2 linked regions of the Xenopus tropicalis genome follow. Each later gene encodes a partner of the first gene's protein in a complex. Links are inferred from orthologs where the notes say so. Each region holds a gene or a part of one and is shown in the gene's direction. Other genes may lie near its edges. The genes, in order: prkaa1 and prkab1.

Region 1 (3,038 bases):
TCTCTAACATGATGGCTGATGGTGAATTCCTACGAACCAGCTGCGGTTCCCCTAATTACGCTGCTCCGGAAGTTATCTCAGGAAGGTATGTAGTAAACCTCAGTGAGGCTTAATGTAATAAATATGGGACGGGCACTGTAGCAGCAGTATCCGCCTGTTAGAAATGAATCTCTGAATCACCTAAGTAAGCAAACTCCTTATCGTTTATTGGTCTGTTCCTTTGGGCAGTGTGTATGGCATTTGGAGTGTGTTTGCGGGTAGGATTCAGGAACATGGTGAAAACCTCTTTTTATTGGCTATAATGTATATGTAATGTTTGTTTTGGTTTTTTTTGTACTGTGCCTGGGCATAAAACATGCAGGACAACTGGGCCTTTTTTTTTAAATGTAAACTTCAGAAAATAAATGTTTTTTTTTCTTTTTCTGGCCCTGTGGAATCCCTGGAGGCACTGGGGTTTTTATTGAAGTCTCTGAAAATTCTAACTTGTAAAGAGTTTCCCTCTATTCTAGCTATCTTGGCCAGAATGAGCTATGGTTGGAATGGTGCCTAAACTCCAGTTGTCCCCAAAAGGGCTCATCTGCCAACAGACCCAGGCCCACCACAGCTAACCCATTGCCGCCACCTTCCTACTCAGTAAGTCAGATTGTACTAAATAGGCATTGAACCTCTCCATGTGTTGTTGCAGGCTTTATGCTGGCCCAGAGGTGGACATATGGAGCTGCGGGGTCATCCTGTATGCGTTACTCTGTGGAACTCTCCCTTTTGATGATGATCATGTGCCAACACTTTTTAAGAAGATATGTGATGGCATCTTCTACACACCCCAGTACCTGAACCCTCCCGTCATTAGCCTTCTAAAGCACATGCTGCTGGTGGATCCCATGAAAAGGGCAACCATCAAAGATATTCGGTAAGTTCTTGAACTGTTAAAAACCACTTAAAGGTATGCTGTCATGATGTTGTTAAATTACACTTATTTACATGGCAAATAATTCACTATACCATTTAAAGGAGAAGGAAAGGCAAAAGTCACTTAAATCGCCCACCTTTTACCCCGGGCTGGTGCCCCTGCTCGGAGAGAACAGCAACAGCCCGGGGCAGGTGCAGCGCTTCCTCCTTCCTTTTCGCTTGCGCGCGCATGCTCAGTAGGGTGAATAGTGGAACTTTAACAGAGAAGTCGGCTTTTTACTCTAATGCACATGCTCCGGGAATTTGCCAGCAAAACGAAGGAGGAAGCGCTCGCTACAGGTACCCCGGGCTGGTGCTGTTTTCTCCAAACAGGGACACCAGCCGGGGGTACAAGGTAAGCGATTAAAGTCACTTGGGGGTGCCTAACATTTTGGAACCCCAAGTGATTTGCCTTTTATTGTGCCTGAGTCTGAGCTTTCAGAAGGAGCCAGTGCTCCATGTTAGAACTGCTTTCAGGTAACCTATTGTTTCTCCTACTCCCATGTAAATAGAGGAGTCCCAAGCCGGAGTCTATGCTTAACGGTGCATTACTGTAAAACAAAAGTAAAAAACTAGATTTATTTAATATTCTTGTATTCCTAAACTGATACTCTGCCTCTTAGGGAACATGAATGGTTCAAGCTAGATCTTCCTAAATATCTGTTTCCCGAGGATCCATCGTACAGTTCCAATATGATAGACGACGAAGCCTTAAAAGAAGTGTGTGAGAAGTGCGAGTGCTTGGAGGAGGAAGTGCTGAGCTGCTTGTACAGTCGCAACCACCAGGACCCGTTGGCAGTCGCCTACCATCTGATCATAGATAATCGCCGCATAATGAATGAGGCCAAAGACTTCTATTTGGCTACCAGCCCTCCGGATTCCTTTATGGAAGAGCCTCAAGTTGCTCGGCCTCACCCAGAGAGAGTTCCCTTTTTAGTGGCCGAGTCACCCCGGCAACGACACACTCTCGATGAGTTAAACCCACAAAAGACCAAACACCAGGTTGGTGTGAGAAGAGCCAAATGGCATTTAGGCATTCGAAGTCAGAGCCGCCCAAACGATATCATGGCAGAGGTTTGCCGAGCAATGAAACAGCTGGGCTATGAGTGGAAGGTAAGCTCTTGCACTTGGGTTTCTTTCTGCAAGCTTTTACTAACACTGTAAGGGAAGAGGTGCCGTGGGCCCAGTGTCGGACTGGGAACCCAGGGGCCCATTGGAAAACCTAAGACCATGGGCCCAATCTCTGAACAGTTTTTCCTCCTTTTCTCAATAAACCACTTTATTCTCCTAGTCTCTCTTATTTACATGCTAGCATCTATTCTTCCATCTATTTCTCCTCTTTGTTCCCATTCAGAAATAGGTAATGACCATGAAACAGGCCAAATGACCAGAAGCAGGAGGGCCCACTGACCCCTGGGCCCACCGGGAGTTTTCCTGGTATGCTGGTGGGCCAGTCCAACACTGCGTGGGCCCCCATTCATGGGATGGATAAGTCCATTTAAAGGAACAGTAACTCGAAAAAAATGATAGTGTTTTAAAGTAATTATAATAAAGTGTACCTCTGCCCTGCACAGCTAGAATGGGTGTGTTAGCTTCAGAATCACTACTATAATATATATAAGCAAGCTGCTGTGTAGCAATGGAGGCAATTGAAATAGGGATTAATGGTGCAGGTTAATTAGCAGGTTACAGATTAGGTCTGTGAAATATAATATAGTGTTCTACAGAGCTTATCTGCTATATAACATGAGCCTTTTCCCCTATGAATGGCTACCTTCATAGCTACACAGCAGCTTATGTATATAAACTATAGAAGTGTTTCTGTAGCAAACACTCCCATGTTACCAGTGTTGGGGCAACAGTACAATATATTTTATAATTACATTAAACCACTTATTTTTTGGTGTTACTGTTCCTTTAAGTCTGTAGCGACAGATTCATAACTGCATTGATCCATGTGCAAGGGACTACATTTGATCCATGTGCAAGAGACTAATTTCCCTTATTATTTTTCCCATATTGAGGTTGTAAATCCATACTACCTGCGCGTAAGAAGGAAGAATCCCGTTACTAGCATGTACACTAAGATG
Region 2 (4,565 bases), about 45 Mb from region 1:
ATTAATGCTTCTCTATTTACTCCATTCTTTAACTCATCTGTAACAATGAAAACATGTGGCCTGCTAAACAAAACCTTTTATCAAGCCACAAAGCAGCAGTGTATATTATTTTAGAAATATCACAAGGTGTCACTGCTTGACAGCAAATGCAGTATAGAAAAACATTACCAGCATAGAAAACATTACCAAAATGTTCCTGCCATAGGTTGAGTTAAATACAGTGTCAGTCTAGTACTAATCTGCAAACTAAGATTTCATGATGGGGCTCTATGTATATATGTATTTATTATATTCAAACATTATGCCAGTGTAATTAAGCCTTAGTACCTAGATAAATTCCATGCCCTAAGGTTACAAAACTAAAAATTAATAAAAAAAATAAACAAAAAGCAAATAAAATATGAAGACCAGGTACAAATTGCATTAGAAGTTAGTTATCTGTACCAAGTTTTTTGCGGGACAGTCCCTCTTTTGACAGCTCAACCCGCAGTCCTGGATTCTTACTGAAAAGTCCCTCGTTTCCCTTTGATCTACTGCACCGAAGCTAAAAATGATACAAATTTAATTAAAAAATGACTTTTGACAAAGAGCCCAGAAAAGTAAAAAGCCCCCCCACCCTGCACTGAGATACCATTGAAACTAATAAGCTAAACAGGTCTCTTGGGGGAACTGAGACTTGCTGCTTAAAGGGCAACTTCACCTTTTTCAGCAAAACTGTAATAATACATAAAAATAGACCCCAAAACCCCCAGAAATGTGTTAACTTTGAATAGTAAAATGGGCATGCCAAATGTAATAAAATGGGAGTGGTATTTAGGGGGTGTGGTTGCAAAAATGGGTGTGTTCAAAAAGATTTGCCGCACTGTGAGCAGTGTCCCTCTTTCTGGTCTCAAGATGTTGGGAGGTATGCTAATGTGGCAAATCTATTGGCAGTAAAATGCCAAAAAGAGACCCAGACTCCAGACTCCTCGTTTTAAAAGGGAACTACTTCCCCCCCAGGCAACTTTTAAGCCTTTGATACAGTGCTACACTAACTCCACCTCCCCCACAGCCCCAAATGTATCTGATCATCTAATCACCTGTACAAGTATCAGATCCAGGAGCATGTGCATGGTCTACTACTGGCCCAGTGTGCATGTTACTGTTAGTTATAAGTTAGAAAACCAAAAATGTGCAAATGTGCAGGCACTAGCCCTGCTACACAGCTTTGCACCCCAGGAGCTGCTATGGAAGTACAGATACATTTGGCAGTGGCACTGTTGGTGTCATGAAGTCTTTCTTACTTTTCTCCTACAACTGTTTAAACTGTAGTTTTAGTTTAATTATTATTAATAATAATAATAATCATTTGACATTATGCAGTAACCCATAGCAACCAATAAGATTTTTGTTTTTAAACAGGCTACTTGCTGGTTGATTGCTATATGCAATTAATTAGATATAGTGCAGCTTTTTACTACCCAACCTCTCAATCTCATAGCAGTGTCAATATTCTTATAACCCTTTTTAATATTGTATACTTTTCCTACATCTGCAAACAACGACCCCAGTAGAGGAATTCCAATTCCAACTATACGCAGATATTAATTGGCACCTATCCCTTTATTGTCACTGATATCACTGACAGATAGCTGGAAAAGGAGTAATGGAAAAAAACAGATCGAACGTCATGTGCGACAACGAGTCTTTGAACGCAATATCGTCACATCCGCAGCAGGAAGCGGAAGCGGCGTGATAAACAAAGTCCTTTCTGGAGGTTTAAAGAGCGATACCTGCTCGTAAAGTGTGGAATATGGGGAACACAAGCAGTGAACGTCCCGGTCCCCACAAGGTGCGAAGAGATAGCACCGGAGCAGTGTCGAAAGGGGATGACAGAGCCAAAATACTGATGGACAGTCCTGAGGATGCGGATATGTTCCCTGCGGAGGAGAGTAAGGTAGAGAAGCGGCTCGTCCTGCAGCCATGTCCCTGCGAAACATCGTCCTGGATTAGTACAGGACAAGTTTAGGCTTAGTCCGACCTATGTCAGATCAACAAGTTTTCACTCATAAAGTGACCATGATACAATCTTTTAATACTAAAGTGTAATTGCTTCCTACACCAGCCTGTTGCTATTGGTTCTGTCACCCAGTATCTTGTCTCTCTTCTTGTCCACATAAATGGCAAAAGGAAATTCAAAAAGAGTTGCACAGTACCGCCCAGCAGTGGTGAAAAGGGTACATCACAGTAGTGATATTCTCTTCTCTGATTGGGGCAAATTTGTATAAACACAGGGCCAATTTGCACCGTGGCAACCAGTAAGAATTCTACTTTCAGACTTGAAAAATAAAATTGCTGATTAGTTGCTATGGGTTACTGCCCATGTGCAAATCTCCCCATTGACTTTAAATGAGCCCCATTATGTCTTAGAGAGTTATAAGGCAGATCATTAACAAGTAATGCTCTGGGAACTGGGTTGAGTTGCATATGCCCCAGGCCCTCAGAAAGGGTTAATAGCCAGGAGCAGAAAAGTTGAGCAAGCATCATGTGAACAGGTGTAGTAAAAGCAACAAGTCATGTATGTAAAATGTGTATATGCACAGGCTGAGAAATAGCTCCTCTGCTGGCTGCACCCAGTGGCACCGCTGACCTGGCTGTAGATGCATGGTGCATTTAGGCGTTACATGAATACATGAGTATACATTTCCAGTGACCTGTCTTTCTCCTGAGACAAGAGGTCCTCTGCGCTCACCCAGTATTCAAATATAAATATATATGATGGACATTAGGACATTATGTGCATTAAACTATTAAATAATGTCCTCTTCTTAAAGAAAAAACAGGAATTGTTTGACTGTATATTCCAGGTAAAGATACCTCCTGTATGAATCTTGTGTTTACAGCCTCATTGCACGCCCAATAAATGTTTTAAAATTTAGTGGTGAACACAACTTTCCCTTTTTTCCTCTGTGTCTCCACGCACTGTAGTCTTGCTGCTGCTGGTACTACTAAAAAACATTTTCTGTAGAGAATGAATAGTATATGGGTGTGTAACAACACACTAAGTACTAAGTCCACTGCATGAATTAAGAGCGGGTGGAGGTGTAACCAAACTACATAAACCAATAATAAACAATCCAGTATTTGTCCATCCTTGGCAGAGAAGTTTTACTGTCTGCACCCAACACTTCATCAAGTAAATTGGGGATTCTGTGTAGCACCTTTATTTAACCATCATGTCCCCACACTATAGGCTTTCATTGAATTCTTTAACCAGACATTGCTATTCTGTTTCTTAGTTGCTTAGTAAAATGAAGAGAGGTTGATGGGTAACATTAGAATGGGGTAAGGCTTCTTCTTTGGTAGCTCAGTGGTTAGCTATGCAGCCTGGCCTCTCAGAGTTCCTGAGTTTGATTCCGACATGGGCGGGTGCTCCAGTTTCTTTATACAGTCAGGTTAATGTGCTCCTGGTGACATTGAACCTGCTGGGTGTAAAAGTGGTAGGAAAGTTAGATTGTAAGCTCCAGTGGAGCAGGAACTGACGTGAGCAATTAGCAAGCTATGTAAAGCTTTGTGTAAATGTGTCAGTGCTATGTAAGTAAAAGATAAAATAAAAATGAATGGTGATTGCCTGCAGCTTGGGACTATGTGGTGTAGAGAAAGTAAATAACGGAGAGCAGCTATCTGATAGGGGACAAGATGCTGATAAAGACTGAGCTGGAACTGGTATTTTACAGAACTACTTTTCTTGGTTACATATTTATATTAACTTTAACCAGAAATTCTTAACCCATGTGTGCCCATTGATTTTTAGCAAGGATCAGCATGATGTCAGAGATTTTCCATGAGGTTCAGTATACATGCCTTGTGCAGCTGCCTATAGGGCCTTCTCATGGATATTCATCAGCCGAAGCAGAGGCACAAGTTCATGGCCTTTTATTAAGTAGATGTACTGTATAAATCATTTGCCCTGGGTACAGTGTAGAAAGTTGATAGTGCCTTAATTCATGCAATAAATGTCAAAACCATATTTAGTGGGTATTACGGACTTGAATAGTGATCATTGGGAGAAATGTTAAGTAAATACATAAATATGGGCATGGCTGTATCAGTTGGTTTATTCTGCTGAAGACTTTATTATAGACCAAAAGTATTTAGGTTTGTTCCCATAGATCACAGTGAGCATGTACTGCAGGAATAGAAACAACCTTTACTCATATTTGTCAGTCAAGTGGTATTTCAGTACTCCTGTTAATTGAGGATATTAGAGTCTTATAGAGACACATGGTTCCTTAGTGCTTCTCTGAGCATATCTGATATTTCATTTAATTCCCAGCTGTTTTCTAGATATTTATATAATCTTTAGCTCGGCTCCATGTGACTGTCTGCCACTGCACCCCAGGCAAACTCCTGCAGCTCTGCACAACTATCTATGTCTGTAAGGATTATGCGATCCTTGCCTCAACTTGTTTGAACCTGCCTCAATGTTTTAACCTGCCCGATTTTAAGCCAGATATTGGTTAGTGAGGCCCATACACAGGCAGATAAGTTGCTGGCTCAGTCTGAAGGGGACAAATCAGCAGCTT

Evidence for each region.
Region 2: the proteins of prkaa1 (region 1) and prkab1 are in contact, whole or in part, in a crystal structure (PDB 6C9H), measured with the Homo sapiens proteins. The link is inferred for Xenopus tropicalis from reciprocal best matches to the Homo sapiens genes PRKAA1 and PRKAB1. Residues at the interface, in NP_006242.5 of Homo sapiens: Gly20, Val22, Lys23, Ile24, Thr32, Lys40, Lys42, Asn59, Arg60, Ile63, Arg64, Val69, Ile72, Arg73, Ile76, Gln77, Val93, Ser95, Thr96, Pro97, Ser98, Asp99, Ile100, Phe101, Met145, Met175, Ser176, Asp177, Gly178, Glu179; in NP_006244.2 of Homo sapiens: Pro79, Val81, Arg83, Leu103, Pro104, Thr106, Val113, Ile115, Asp159, Phe160, Glu161, Val162, Phe163, Ala165, Leu166, Met167, Val168, Asp169, Ser170, Gln171, Arg201, Ala202, Pro203, Pro204, Ile205, Leu206, Pro207, Pro208, His209, Leu210.

Annotation. Positions count from the first base shown.
Region 1 is NC_030677.2:195,921,030-195,924,067, forward strand, and holds part of prkaa1 (5'-AMP-activated protein kinase catalytic subunit alpha-1), read left to right. Parts: coding exon 1-85; intron 86-685; coding exon 686-910; intron 911-1,571; coding exon 1,572-2,061; intron 2,062-2,972; coding exon 2,973-3,038. UniProt on the Homo sapiens protein: Catalytic subunit of AMP-activated protein kinase (AMPK), an energy sensor protein kinase that plays a key role in regulating cellular energy metabolism.
Region 2 is NC_030677.2:151,374,925-151,379,489, forward strand, and holds the start of prkab1 (5'-AMP-activated protein kinase subunit beta-1), read left to right. Parts: upstream 1-1,696; 5' UTR 1,697-1,792; coding exon 1,793-1,936; intron 1,937-4,565. UniProt on the Homo sapiens protein: Non-catalytic subunit of AMP-activated protein kinase (AMPK), an energy sensor protein kinase that plays a key role in regulating cellular energy metabolism.